Linked DNA regions of Oryzias latipes. The protein of the gene in region 2 purifies or fractionates together with the protein of the main gene of each other region. This does not show direct contact. Links are inferred from orthologs where the notes say so. Each region holds a gene or a part of one and is shown on either strand. Other genes may lie near its edges.

Evidence for each region. Proteins that work in one complex are often made in the same cells at the same time.
Region 1: the proteins of psmg2 (region 2) and psmg4 purify together in Homo sapiens (affinity purification with mass spectrometry; 3 studies listed by BioGRID and IntAct, counting the BioPlex papers as one, with this or other methods). This does not show direct contact. The link is inferred for Oryzias latipes from reciprocal best matches to the Homo sapiens genes PSMG2 and PSMG4.

Annotation. Positions count from the first base shown.
Region 1 is NC_019862.2:21,271,333-21,278,622, reverse strand, and holds psmg4 (proteasome assembly chaperone 4), read right to left. Parts: upstream 4,775-7,290; 5' UTR 4,677-4,774; coding exon 4,512-4,676; intron 3,508-4,511; coding exon 3,432-3,507; intron 1,192-3,431; coding exon 1,070-1,191; 3' UTR 866-1,069; downstream 1-865. UniProt on the Homo sapiens protein: Chaperone protein which promotes assembly of the 20S proteasome.
Region 2 is NC_019869.2:7,090,410-7,098,010, forward strand, and holds the start of psmg2 (proteasome assembly chaperone 2), read right to left. Parts: upstream 3,849-7,601; 5' UTR 3,697-3,848; coding exon 3,640-3,696; intron 2,913-3,639; coding exon 2,741-2,912; intron 1,587-2,740; coding exon 1,528-1,586; intron 1,457-1,527; coding exon 1,338-1,456; intron 1,252-1,337; coding exon 1,072-1,251; intron 70-1,071; coding exon 1-69. Other genes in the region: uncharacterized protein LOC101168130, read right to left, coding at 7,048-7,201, 7,311-7,407, 7,471-7,601. UniProt on the Homo sapiens protein: Chaperone protein which promotes assembly of the 20S proteasome as part of a heterodimer with PSMG1.

The DNA of each region.
Region 1 (7,290 bases), on a different chromosome or scaffold from region 2:
GCTTTGCTCTGGGACTTTTCTTTGTTGCTTTCCCACATTCTCCACAGGTTCTTTTTGCACTAAATGTTAAAGACACAATCAGGTGTTTGTGAATTTCAGCCAAGATAGTGGAAATCCAGGGTTGGGCTAAAACCACGACGATTTCTTTTTAATGCATGAAAAGGCACAACATGATTTTAATTTTAGTCTCTGTTGTGGTCTTGAATAGAAGTCACTTTATGTGTAACGGTGAGGCCGGTGTAGACTTCTAACCTAACACCGTGGTGGGCGCATGATGGCTGTCCATCAGCCGGAGAATCGACGCCACCACATTTGGGAGCTGAATGGGCATTTTGGAGTGACCTTCGCCGTGTCTGATGACGCATCTCAGATGGCTTTAATGTGATTTTCTTTTTTTTTTTTTTTAGACCAGATCGAATGAAATCAAAGAAATTCTGGATTTATTTTTGAATTCCACAGAAGCGAGGGGAGGGGTGTTAGCTAGAAACACTCTGTAGATACTTCCACACCTCCTCCTCTTCCTCCTTTGCACCGTGTTGTGAACCTCAGTTCCTCTGAACAGAAAGCACAATATTCAACCATTTTCTGGAGTAAGTGTTTGTGAGGATTAGAGTAGAGCAGTGTAGGTCTGGCCTCGTGACTTGTGTAGGTTTAACCACTTTCCAAACCCAACATCAACCAGAACTGCATCAATATTCATAGTTTGCCGACTTGTGCCAATTTTTCTTTCTTCCAAAACATAAAGACGCCTAAATCGTGACTCGTTTGTTTTCTTGAAATACAAATAGTTTCCATATTTAGCACATAGCTCACATGTCTGGTTACTAGTTTGTATGTTTTCAACATAAAAAAGCCACTAATACTGTTTTTTAAGTGTTATTTTTTAATAAGATGCATTTGTACAAAAAGCCATAGGCCTACCAGTTTTGATAAACCTCCTAATTTATTATGCTAATAAAAAAAGCAAACAAACTGGCTGTGATTGGTTGTCCTGGTAACTTGATGCTTGTTTGATGAGGGAGAGCGGTTGGGTGGGTCTTCACCTTTCTGTGTGCTGTTGTTATGTTGTTTAAAAGTGCTCCGGGTGAAGCTCCAGCTCCTTTTTGATTCGGCCTTCTACCAACAGACTGAGGCTGGAGTCGCTCATGGGAAGACTGTAGCTCACAAAGACCTGCTTCTCCGTCCTCTTTGCTGCAAAACAGACGCAATTTCTCTTTGATGCCCACCCTGACAGTAAACATACAAGCTTGCTTAGCTTATGCCTTAGTCACAACAACTGCCCTTATATGTTGATACGGCCGGACTACGGCGGACAAATGTACGCAGGTGGCCCGCACAAAATTTTAAGATCAAAGAACGCTTATTGAACTCGTAGAGCAAAGATGGTCACGCACATCTTTTCTATGGGCATGCTCCAGGCGATGGGTCAACGCGAACACTTATGCGACCACAAAGGGTAGGTAAGAGCGAAGTAGGTCAGACGCAGGCGCGTCTTACAAATATAACATTTTTTTTCACCCCCCCAAACTTGCACCCAGTGCAGGGAGCCCATTAGAGCTGATCAGGAAATAAGTGCGCTTGAATTTGTGATATGCGCACCTCACCAACGACTAGTGTGGTGTGAGGGCGCCGCACAACAGCACCCCCCCCCTGCATCAGAAGTGAGGGTAACTTGCATCATCTTTACAAATACTTCACGATACGCCTACCCCACGTACGACAATGGTACATTCCTTAAGGCAACTGCAAAACACACCTGCCGCTCCTCTTTACAACCCTCCACAGACATCCCAAAAACCAGAGGCGCCCGTACAGGTACATGATGTGACTAATGCAATAAACTGAATGTCATCTCCCTTTAAAAGAGCATTTTGTATTGACCTAAACATATGTTGGTTTATTTATGAAATCACTCATTTGTTTTTCCTAAAAGCTTTGGAGGGAAGCTTTGCTCTTAATCTAAAAGATAACAAAATGTCAAATATTCATATTTGAATCCTCTTCATCTCCGTAAATAAAGTATCATTTAACACATGAGTGAATACGTTGAGGTATCTGTACATCAATAATTGATTTTTGTGGCGTTATTTTGTTTCAAAGGAGATTTTGAACTCCAAAAGTTAGAGTCAAAGCCAGACCCTCTCATCGTCCGCCCTCCTCGCCTCCATCTTAAATTTAGCTGAATATCATTATTTCTGCCTATATTTCCTATAAGTCACCCGACATGTCAATAGATGACAAAAAAAGGTTTTAATCCAACATGAAAACCCAACTATAACATAAAAAACCTGCTAATTAATGAAATGTTTTTTTTGTTGTTTTTTTTATCCCACAATGGGAAATTTGTTGTCCGCATTTGACCCATCCCCTGGGGGAGCGGTGAGCTGCAGCCGAACCGCGCTCAGGAGGCAGTAGCGTTAAGGGTCTTGCCCAAGGTGATGTTAATTGCCCCCACTACCATTGTTCAGGCCCCTCCGGGAATCGAACCCTGGTTTCTGGTGGTGGCTTCTCACCTTACCAACTGAGCTACCCAGCCGCTGAAATAATTATAATAACTACAAAGGTAACAATCTATGAAGATGTCTGATGTAAAAATTACTTTAACTGGTTTGTATCTTAGATTTTTAAAAAACTGTACTTATTAGAGATTAATAACATACCATGTTGAAGCTGCTTGTTAAGACATTTTTAACTGAACAGTTCACTGTGCTAAATAACTGAAGATGCATTTAATCTTAGTGCTTTAACTCTTATTCTTCCTGCTTTTTCCAAATTCTTTTCTTCTGTGTCCTGGAAAGCTTTTTTTCAGGAGAGAAGCATCATTTTGAGTTATGATAATTATGCATCTTTCAATATACATTTTTTTCATTGAAAGAAGAATTGGTATTAACAAGCTTTATTATAATTAAAAAATAATCGTTATGATTTGTGGCGCCCCCTGCAGGCAGAAAGGGCATTCGCATTGACCTATATTGGCTAATGGAGCAGCCAAATCTAAAATGTACCGGTAAATGAAAAAATAATAACATGTGAAAATAATTAATTACTTTCAAACCTAGTTAAGAGAAGTGAAACTCTTTAAAGTGACCTTTTAGGGCCAAAAATGTATTAATTTAAAATAATAATAATTTACTTCCATTATTTTTGGTTAATTTCTTTCTGTTAATATTCTCACAGTTATATGCATCTCTGTTTAACTTTAATCTGTACTTGTGTTTAGGTGGAATAATGAGTGACAGATGGATTATGAAGTTTGTCTTGTAAAGCATATGTGTAGTGAAGGGATTATTAGGTTTATAAGAGGAGTGATTCCAAAGAAAGATCTGATGATAATTGAAACTGCCTGACAGGAAAAGAAGGAATAGTTTTAACTTTGTTGTCTTTGGACTCATAAAGCTATGAAAAAAAATGATAGAAAGGGTTGAGATTACCTAATCTCTGTGCTAAAGAACTCGCAGTGGTCTCAGACGGGTCCCCCATCACCAGCGTAGATAACGGCATTGAATCCTGCAAACAAAAACAAACAGCATGTAAAACCAGGAAATAATTACTAGATTCTTACTAAAAGAAAGTTTGATTTCTTTGTAATTGCGTTCCGCATTTTTAAAGCCAATCCGGATTATAAAACAGTTGGAAAGAAATAATAATAGATTTTCCAGAGTAAACTTTTTACATGATGGAGTAACTAAATATTTAACGATGTCTGTTGTAAATAATCAATCCAAGACTGCAGAACTGAAGTCAGTGGATACAATGACAGACAGAATGAAAGGTCTCTTATGATAAACAAGAGATTAGAATTATTGGGAAATTATAGATTTAAAAATTCAAATGAGAATATTTTCACATTTAGCTTCAATGTATTTAGAAGCAGGGATCTTTTGTAAAAATTTTCAAAGAAGACAAACATTAATGAAGAAAAAAACAACATGAGACATTTTATTTGTTTAGTTGTATATGACCTAAAATCTTCAATGATTTTTTTTTGGTTTTAAATAAACAAGATCATTTGGGGTGAAAAATGTGGGGTGTCTTTATGAATTGCATTTTCCTGTTTTAATATTCACGAAGGAAGACTAAATCTGTTATTTTGGAGTCAGGCAATGTTTTTGGAAAGGCAATTTTTTTAAATAAAGTAATTGTAAAAATAAAAATAAAAAAACAACATTACTACTACTACAACTACTACTACTGTTATTATTAATAATAATAAAAATCTGTGACTGTGACTATGACTTGCTCATTTAATTTGGGGGAAAAAACTATTAAAAGTTAAAAATAAATGTAAACAACAAAAATTAAGCTAGTTTTGGAAAATATCAAAGAATTTTTTTCTTTTAATGGAATTAACTAAAATGTGTTTTTATGTTATATTAAAGTTCCAAACTCAGCTGACTTTATTGAAATACTTCATGAGTTATTTTAGGGTTTTAATAACGTTTATATTGCTAACGTTCAGGTTTTAGCTTAAAGTTAAATGTCAGCAAAACAAACCTGGGTTCTGTACTCACGTATTTGCTGTTCAGAGAGACCGCTAAGTTGGACAGAACCGGAGCCGAACCGACCCAGAGGAAGAACCCGCCGTCCAACTTCATGACATGGAAGTGGACGACCTGCTCCAGGATTTTCTCAGAAAAATTATGAACTGAAATTCCTCGGAAGTCCGCTCCGTTCATTTTTGAACACGTTCATTCAATGAATGTTAGCTTTAGCCGTGCACACCACCGAGGCTTCCTGCTCTGACTAACTGGCAGACATAAGCAATCGATAACCCCCCACAGCGATGGATGTCAGACCAGAGTAATCGAAAACAAAAACAATCGATATCCATTTGATATCACATAAATTAAATGTACGGGTATAGATAATGTGTGTCTTTGTTAAAAACATTTTAAAAGACATAAGTAAAATTTTGTTTTCAAAAAAAGACCTGACCATTTCCTTGTAAAGTTACAACTTTTTGAAGCAATAAACTTGTGACTTCATTCCCGGAAATTGATTTTTTTAACGCTGTGCAACTTTTTTTCTAAAAATTTTACAACTTTATTCTTAAAAGAAAAGGAAACTTAATTGTTTCTCTTAATTTTATTTCTTTATTCTCAGACATTTATTTTTCTTACATGGTGGCCCAAATAGGCTGGTCCATCGTAGATCTCAGTCTGGAACATAGTAGAGGAGCTCAGAAATGCAAAGTGTGACATTCCAGACTGAGTTCTACGATGGAGCAGCCTATTTGGGACTATGGAGTCCTATACTGTTCATAATTAAATAAATAAATATTTAATTAAATAAATAAATATGACCTCATGCAAATACACAATAAACCTATAAATCTCATAAATCTCATAAATATACAAAAAGATAATGAAATTGTGAAAAACCTGCACACAGATTTTAAATTAGTCATTATTCAATATATTTCATTTTGCTTTAAAAACCTGTTCATTATTTTAAAAAAGCATTTTAAAATATTCATTTTTTATCATGTTGAATATTATTATAATTCTGTCTTTTTTCAGAAGCTCGTATTTCAAAATCAATATTTTCCAAAGTAGCTTTGTTTTTATTTCATGTTGCTGTTTTTCACAATGGCTTATTTATTTCATGAAGAGCTTTTTCAGGAGAATGGGTCTGTCTGTCAATCAGTGAAAGTGGGCGGGATCTAAACGTTCATTGGCTCATCCATGGAAATCGACTCATATTCCTCGATACCCGCTTAGCAGTGTGCCAGTCAGAGAGATTTCATGTTTCAGCGATATCCGCGCGGCTTTGCTGACATTAGAGATCAAATAGAGACAAACAATCTGTCTGCTGCAGCAAACATCTACGACTCTGTTTTTCTAGTTTGAGGGTTTGTGTGGACCAAACTACAGAGGAGCTCCGGTCGTCCACGTCTCGAAGTCCCCGGTTGAAACACTCCTCATTCTTACGCCATTCACTCAAAGCTCACATCATGCCTGATGTCGGCTCGCAGGAGGTGAGCTGGCAGACCGACAAACTCAGACCAGGCAGCTGCGCAAAGCGGGACAAGCCTGCTCGTGCCTCCTGGGGGGTATTCCAGGAAGCATGTTTAAACTACCCTGACTTTAAGCCTGAACTCTGGCTGAAATCCGCCTGAACTTGCTTACTCTGGGTATGTCGGGTCCAAAAGACCGGATATGAGTTGGCGTAATTACGCTCGACTTGGTAACCCTGGGTTAACGCACGGTACATAAAGACATTCTCAATAGATCGCCGATTTCTGGAGTCACCATGGAAACGCATGGTGAAAAAAAAAGAAAGCGCTGTACTTAAGTGAGACGGAGTCTGAGATTTTAATGAGAGCGGAAAAAAATTATAAGTCCATCAAAAAAGTAACATGGCTGAAAAATAATTTAAATAATTTAGTTAAATTAATTCAAACTCAATAATTGTTTATACAACTCAAATGTACGTATTTATCTAACTAAATGTCACATTACTCCATTAATCTTTTTTCCATCTTAATTACTTATATTTCTTGAACTTTCATATGTCTAAGTTTGAGCCGGCAGATATGCTCATTTTTATAAAAATAAAAAGAACGGAAAAAAAATGCACGGAGTGCAAAAATTCATTAAAGAATTTTCTGTCACTGTCATAGCAGGTTCCTGTGGTAGGGGTGCTATATAAACTCATCATTCTTTCCTTCACTCTCACTCATGGTGCAGAGACGTAAGCATAGTAGGACAAAATAGCTCGGCAAAACACGGTGAAACACAGTAAAACAGCTATACAACTAAACACATTTTGTAAAAAACCCACACTTAAACCCAAATCCGTCCAGACAGGCAAAGGGAATGATATCCCAGAATCCCTTGCGGTGCCGATCTAACGGCAGCACCAAAGTTACACCTACTTAATTGAATTAATTTGAACGAAAGGAAAATAATTGTCTGAAAACTACGTGTTATTTTTAAGGTGACCTAACAAAAAAAATGATTTATCTTAACTGAAGCAAATAATTAAGTTAGATCAAAGTAAAAAAGTTTATCTTTCCAACATCCATATGTGGTCTTATCACCCCCTCATGGTGGAAAAAGTATTATCTGAGCTTTTTCATCCACTAAGTCATCTTTAAATGGACACGCCATGCTGCTTCCCCTCTCTGTAAACAAACTAAGCTTCAACTAAACCTGCTCCAGACCAGGTTATGTTCAGAGCATGAGTTGCCATGGTAACTTGACCTACCCTGAAACATACCTCCATTTCTGGAACCAAAAGCTGAGGTTATCAACTTCCTTAGCCTCAAACTTATCGTGGGAGCTAGCA
Region 2 (7,601 bases):
GCGTCGGGAATGTTGTCTCCTTCAGAACAGAAGAGCAGCAAGACGGCGAGCCGGAGATCCTCTGCACAACTACACACAGCATGAGATCAGAGACACAAACAAGAGCTGCAGTTGTTACGTTCTGAAGTTATTCTAAACTTTTTGTGACTAAACAAAAAGACTAAATGAATCAATAAGATTAAGCCATGTTTTCTTAAATTCAGGCTTTAAAAAACCATGCTGATATTATGATTTACTTTTAATAGCCATCTACTCAATATCCGGGTTTGTAGCGACCTTTTGGCTCTGAAGCTGCGTCTAAAACACGCTTGGCGGTGGACGAACTTCAAATGAAAAGATAAATGCACATTTAAGGTTTAACATTAAAAACCTGCGTTCACGCATGGCTACAGACATTTTTAAGACCATTTTTGGGATCTACAGTCAGGACCATAAATATTTGGACAGAGACACATTCTTTGTACTTTAGTTTCTGTACATTACCACAGTGAATTTTAAATAAAACAACTCAGATGCCATTGAGCGGGTCGTTCAACAACCGAAGGGTTGGTGGATCGATCCCTGCTCTCCCCAGCCAGCTTTCAAGGGGGGTGACAAGCAAAAAATTCTTATTTTCTGCTTTGCAATAAATTAATCTTATCAAGGAAACTTATCAATAGCAAAATAATGTTAGTTTAAGAAAACATGCCTAAGTGACTAGATTTTTCCCCACAATTCTTGTTGAGACCATTTTCTTACCTACTGGCAGATTTTTTTATTTTAAGAAACCATTTTGTTTTTCATATTTTAAGAATTTTTAACTTTCTCTCTGTGTTTACAGCCTGGATTTCAGGCAGGAGGTGTTTTCTGCAAAGAGCGCTAAACGCTAAACCCAAACTACCTTCTTCTTGAAGTCTTTAAAACAGAGAATCTCAATTTATATTTTTGTATTCCTTTGGTTTCAATTCCCAAATTACAATAAATTGTAATTTAACAATGAAAGTTCAACAACAGTTAATGGCCAATTACCAGGACAGCAAAGAGGGCTTTTTTTACGTTATGGGTACAGGTGTCATGTCGGAGTCCCAGTACCTGTCAGAGTAAAGTCCTTTTGTGATGCCTCCTCCTGGGATGCAGAGTCGAGGCTCGGCCTCAGCATCCGTTAGTCCGGGAAAGGCCGGCGTTCGCTCCATCTCCCTCCAGCCCAGCTCCTTCAGAGCATCAGCACTCACTCCCAGCAGAGACGGTGTGACCAGGAACCGAAGAGGAGAACTGATGAAAACGCAGATTCATCAGAACAGAAATGTCTGGAAATGGTTACAAAAATATACAAGGATGCTGTCAGACTGCAGGATTACCCCTGAAGCTGCAGGTCGTCTCTCTGGTAGGCATGGCTGCTGGACAGAACCATTGTTCTGGAGAAACCGCTCGCTTTGATCCAAGATACCAGCTGCTGGCGAAACCGCTTGGTCCTCGTCTGCAGTAAACAAACAAGTCAGAAATCTGACTAATTCCACGTAAATGTTGACGGGAATCAAACGGCTTTACCTGAATAATTGGGGCTCTGATCTGGAGAACTGCCAGCTTCATTTCTGCTGCTGTGTAAACTGCAAATGATTTATTTTACAGATTCCGTTACATTTTAATGAAATACGTTTTGTCTGCACCAGTGGTCCCCAACCCCCGGGCCGCAGACGGTCATTTGGTACCGGGCCACACAGAAAAAATAAAATAACTGACATGACTTCCGTTTTATTTATTTCAGAATCTGAAAGATGTTTTATTTTGAAAAACTGCAGATTCTTTGTTCCATTCGTCTATGTCACTCTTGACGCAGGCCAATTCGCTGATCTCGGTCACGTGATGGGTTACCGCTAAAATAAAACCCAGGAGCTAGTAAAATGAATAAAAAACAAACGTCTTTGGAAAGTTTCTTTGCCATGGGGAAAAGGCTCAGCCAGGAGACCAAAGAGGAGCCTTCCACTCCCCCCCCAAAAAAGAAAGCTACATTTAAAAAGACAGTATCAGGAGTCCTACTAAAAATACGGATTTATCTCAACGGGAGATTCCCTCGAACCATTCAGCACTGTGGTGAGTTGGATTTTCCATGCACTTATTTTGAAGGCATGTTTAAATGTTATAATAATAGCGACCAGAGAGTGTTGCCGGCAGAGAGGACGTTGCTCATGTCCTAATTCTTGTTAATTGTAATGTTTAGAAAATACCACCGTTTTCATGCAAGTCTCATCACTTTGTTGTATTGTAGTGTCTGTCACGTGCACGTTTGGTCTGCTGTCGGAGTTCCGCAGGCTGCAGGGGTTACTGTCGGAGCTGGTATCACAGGGAATTTTAGCACCATGAGTGTGGGAAGGGGAGAGGATGATGACACAAGTGCGATGAACAATGTTTAGCGTGTCAAAATAAAGGTGCAGAGCGCGTCTTATCACGCGTCTCTGCCTCTGTAGTAGCGTTGCTGCAGCGTGTGTCCGCCACATATAACATACCGGACCGTGAGAATTTTGCCAGACATCAAACCGGTCCGTGGTGCAATAAAGGTTGGGGACCGCTGCTCTACACAATACAGTGAAATATTAAAATCTGTCAGTCTGTCACATAAAAGGGTGATTGTACACGAAATACAAAACTATCACATAAACCCTTAAACCAAGTCACCCAAAAAACTGTCAACACAAATCAATGCAACAACATTTGCAGCATAGAAAACGTATCAATCAGACAGACTTTGCTGAACCCATGTTACCTTCTGCAGGAGTGTGCAGCTCCTCCGCATCCTCTTTGCAGGAGCTGTAGGGGTTGTTTCCAGCCATGGGGATGAGACAGTCTGTGTGCATGTAGCCCACTCTCCTCATGTTAAGAGTAGATACGATGAGGTCGACCGCCAGCTGACCCACGTTACCAACAGAAACAGCCGGCTAAGGGGACACCCAAAGAAACAGGACAAATATGGAAGACGGCTACTACTGTGAGGTGAAAGGCTTTCAGAAGGCCTGAAAACTCTTTTACATCACAATCGAATAAAACAGCACATTTCTAATGCCTTTTTCAAATCAAAACAACTTAGCTAGAACTTTAAAATGCAGTATTTCACCCTAGTTTATGAAACATTATGGCAAAAACTTGAAAAACAATATTATGTCCATGCATTTATCATTCTGGAGGTGTTAGGAACCAAATTATTAATACAAATAAATGTCAGAAAATAGCAATCGTCAATTAAACCTAACAATCTTTAGTTTTGGTAGAGAAAATTATCTTAAGTGATGGAATTTGTTAATACATACGTGACTTGGTTTAACCAATTAAATGTCATAATAATGGCCAAGGCCATTTATCACAACAGACCTGACCCCGGTGTTTTCTGCATGAACATCAAATCGCAGAGGAGCTACATTCTCCCTCTGACATCCTTTTACTCGAATGTGTTACAGTTTTACTGCTGTTATTTGTTAGAGTTCAATAACAACCACAATTATAATAAAGAATCAATCTACAAACTAACTGACTGGAACCAATTACAGCTATGAATAAAGTAAAAAAAAAAGAAGTAAGTAACACAGACTTGTTGATAGTAATATACAAAGTAAAACTGCTTGCAGTTGCAACAGAGAAACGTTTGCAAGAAGTGAAACAAAAACTCACCATGACGAGGGTAAAATCTTTGAAAACAGGAGGCGAGTCTTGCGAGGAAACAAACATGATGCTGAACAGGGAGCTGACACAAAACCAGAGAGTTACGGTTAAAAAAAGTATGTAGGAGTACGCTAATCACAACTGAAAATTTGTAATATCTAAGCACACGCTTCCTCAAGTTTCCATGCCTGATTCTGTTGTATACGTTCGTGGAGATTTTGAGGACTGAAACTAGTTTAGGCATACTTCAGGAATGCCTGACTATAATTCATCAAAAAAGCAAACTTAAGAAAATCTAAAATCATTATAACCTATTTTAACCTTTAAATGTATTGGTTTTGTAGTAGCGTGTGTAGATTATTATTAGTTTACCCCCACCTAGGAACAAAAACATTATTTTTTAGATTTCTTTAGTCAGGCTAGTAGCCAAAACACCCTCTAGAAATAAAATGGTCAATTTGTCCGCGTTTTTTTTATTTTTTTTATATAACTTTATTTAACAAATGCAAGTAAATTTGTCCGCGTTGAAGCTTTATTTATTTATTTATTTATTTATTTATTTATTTATTTATTTACCAATGTATAATAGTGTAGCGATCTGGGGGTTAGCCCCGCCTATTATTATTAATTTTATTATTATTATTATTATTATTATTATTATTATTATTAACAATAAGAATATTATTATTATTATTATTGTTGTTGTTGTTAGTAGTAGTAGTAATAGTAGATGTAGCTTGCCGTAGCTTGCAGCAGCAAAATGTGTCAAATTAACTTTAAAGCCCAAATTTTCTCCAGGGTTCATTTAATGTTTTTAATACACTATGATTTTTACTGTTGTGTGATCTTTTTTTTCGTTTGTTTCTTTTCATGATAGAAACTGTTGTCCCCACACGCATTTTAAAACTCGAGTGGATATGACATTCCAAGCAATGGCAGCCAAACTCTGGAACACCCTGACTCTGCTTCTACCATTGACTGTATACGAGACATTCAAGGGTTGTACAGTCATTGACAAGACTGAGGCATTCAATCATAAGACTTTTTTTATTTCAGCAGGCTTTTAGTTAGATTTGGGTTCTTTGTTGGATATTCTGCTTCTATCTTTAATATTTGTTACTTGTTTTATCTTCTTTTTGATGTGGTTGTAAACATTCTTTCTGGAAAATTACTGCATACACTACTTACTTTATAAAAAAGAAATAACCCACTTTCACAGGAATTTTTAAAATGTAAACTGTTTATTTTACTAAATAAAAAAAGAACATTTTCAAAGTCTTTCTACCTTTCTTTTATTGTTCTCTGCCCTTTGGTTCCTTTTTTACTGCTTACATTATTTTTTATTGTTTCTAATATTTTCCCCTCCAGGGGGGTATTCCAATAAGCAGGTTATTCTAGTTACCACGGTAACTTTGAGGCTAAGGAAGTTGATAACCTCAGCTTTTGGTTCCAAAAATGGAGGTATGTTTCAGGGTAGGTCAAGTTGCCATGGCAACTCATGCTCTGAACATAACCTGGTCTGGAGCAGGTTTAGTTGAAGCTTAGTTTGTTTTCAGAGAGGTGAAGCAGCATGGTGTGTCCATTTGAAGATGATTTAGTGGATGAAGAAGCTCAGATAATACTTTTTCCACCATGAGAGGGTGATAAGACCACATATAGATGTTGGAAAGATAAACTTTTTTACATTGCTCTAACTTAATTATTTGCTTCAGTTAAGATAAATCAATTATTTTGTTAAGTCATCTTAAAAATAACATCTAGTTATCAGACAGTTATTTTACCTTAATTCAAATTAATTTTATTAAGTAGGTGTAACTTTGATGCTGCTGTTAGATCTGCACCGCAAGCAATTGTGGGATACCATTCCATTTGCATGTCTGGACGGATTTGGGTTTAAGTGTGGGTTTTTGACCAACTGTGTTTAGTTGTTTAGCTGTTTTACTGTGTTTTGCTGAGTTATTTGTCCTTTTATGTTATATTTTTTCTGCACCATGAGTGAGGGAGGGAGAGGATGATGAGGTTTTATTTAGAAGCCGCTTATTCTTGGTGATGTATTGTCCAAGTAAGAGAAATTGTAAACTACATCTTGAGTCATGATACAATTCCATTTTGTTTCAATCATTTTATTGTTATAAAATGAGTATATCTGCCGGCTCAAACTTAGACATAGGAGAGTTCAAGAAGTACAATAAATTAAGATGGAAAAACATTTGAGTAAAATCACATTTAGTTATATAAATATGTAAATTTGAGTTGTAAAACAATATTGAGTTGGGTAGACGTAAGAAATTAGGTTGAATAAATTTAACTCAATTACTTGATACCAATAGAAGCAATTCATTTAAGTTGGATAAGTTATATGCGTCACAATGAAAATAGAAATGAGATTGAAACTCGTGCGTTTACTTTTTCCTTCTTTTTCTCCAAGCAGAAACTCTTTCTTTTGCTGATGATGCAGCCGTATTACTTTTTTGATGGACGTATAATCCTCACACACTGTCATTTAAATCTCAGACTCTGTCACAAAAGTATAGCGCTCTCTTTTGTTCTCGTCACGTTTCTATGGTGACTCTGGATATCGACGATCCATTGAGAATGTCTTTATGTACTTGCTGTGCACGTGCATTAACCCAGGGTTACCAAGTCCAGCGTAATTACGCCAACTCATATCCGGTCTTTTGGAACCGACATACCCAGAGTAAGCAAGTTCAGGCGGACTTCAGCCAGAGTTCAGGGTTAAAGTCAGGCTAGTTTAAACCTGCTTCCTGGAATACCCCCCAGTATTCTTCCATATTTTTTAGTGCGTTATTTATTCATTTAAAAAATGTTAATGTTAGTTCATTGTACATAGTATTGTGCGGTAAATTGCATAATATAATAGTTTGTATGGTAAAACCCATTTGTCACATTAAAAAGGAGGTCTTGGACTCACATTTTTGTCTTTTTGTTTATTTATTCAAGTACAAAGAAAACCTGTGATTCTACAGATTACGATTGAATATGTCGACAGATGCGCAACTGAGTAATTTACAACAATATCATACAAGAAAAAAAACATAAATGAGATAGAATGTATAAAGCCACTCTTTACCAACACCTAGATTTCCTGCTTCTCAGTCCTACTGTTTACAGTGGCTTAGTAATTTGAAAACATCTATTGATACAGCTCTTGGCCACGTTTGTTTTATATAAGAACTCTATGACAGCTGTAAATTTAAAGACATAACGTAATATAACCAGCGACAGACTGGCGGCCTGTCCAGGGTGCCCCCTATCTTCACCCACAAGTGGCTGGGATAGGCTCCGGCAGCCCCGTTTCCAGCCATGGGGCAGCCTCAAATAATCAGTCTTAAAAACCCCATAATGCTAAACTAATTTTTTGCTCTATAATTTCCATGTATTATCATGATAGCATTTTTAAAGCTTGACTTCATTGGGAACCTGACTACCTTTTACAACAGCGACAGCGTTCTCCACCATCAGCTGCACCATCTTTCTCACTGTGGTGTTAGTGTTGGTCCCTGCATGGGGAGTGAGGAGCACATTGGGAAGGCTGAGGAGAGGATGATCTCTGCACAAAGCAAGCAGCAAAGCCCAGTCACATGACACTTTTATTCCATCATTGCTTTTGTCTTTTTAATCCGTTTAAATAAACCTCAAGATGTCAAATGCGTTGTTACCTTGGTAACGGTTCAGGATAAGTCACATCCAAAGCTGCTGCTTGAATAACTCCAGATTGTAGAGCCTTGAGCAAGGCCTCCTGGTCCACAACCAAACCTGTTGAGTCCCATATTAAAGTAAATATGGTTGCATAAAAATGAAATCAGATCTAATCCCCACCTCTGCTGATGTTGACTAGTGTAGCCGTGTCTTTCATGAGGGCCAGCTCTCTATGACCAATCAGGTGTTTGGTTTCAGGGCTCAGATTGACCGCCAGCACAACAAAGTCAGACTCTTTCAGTAGGTCGTCC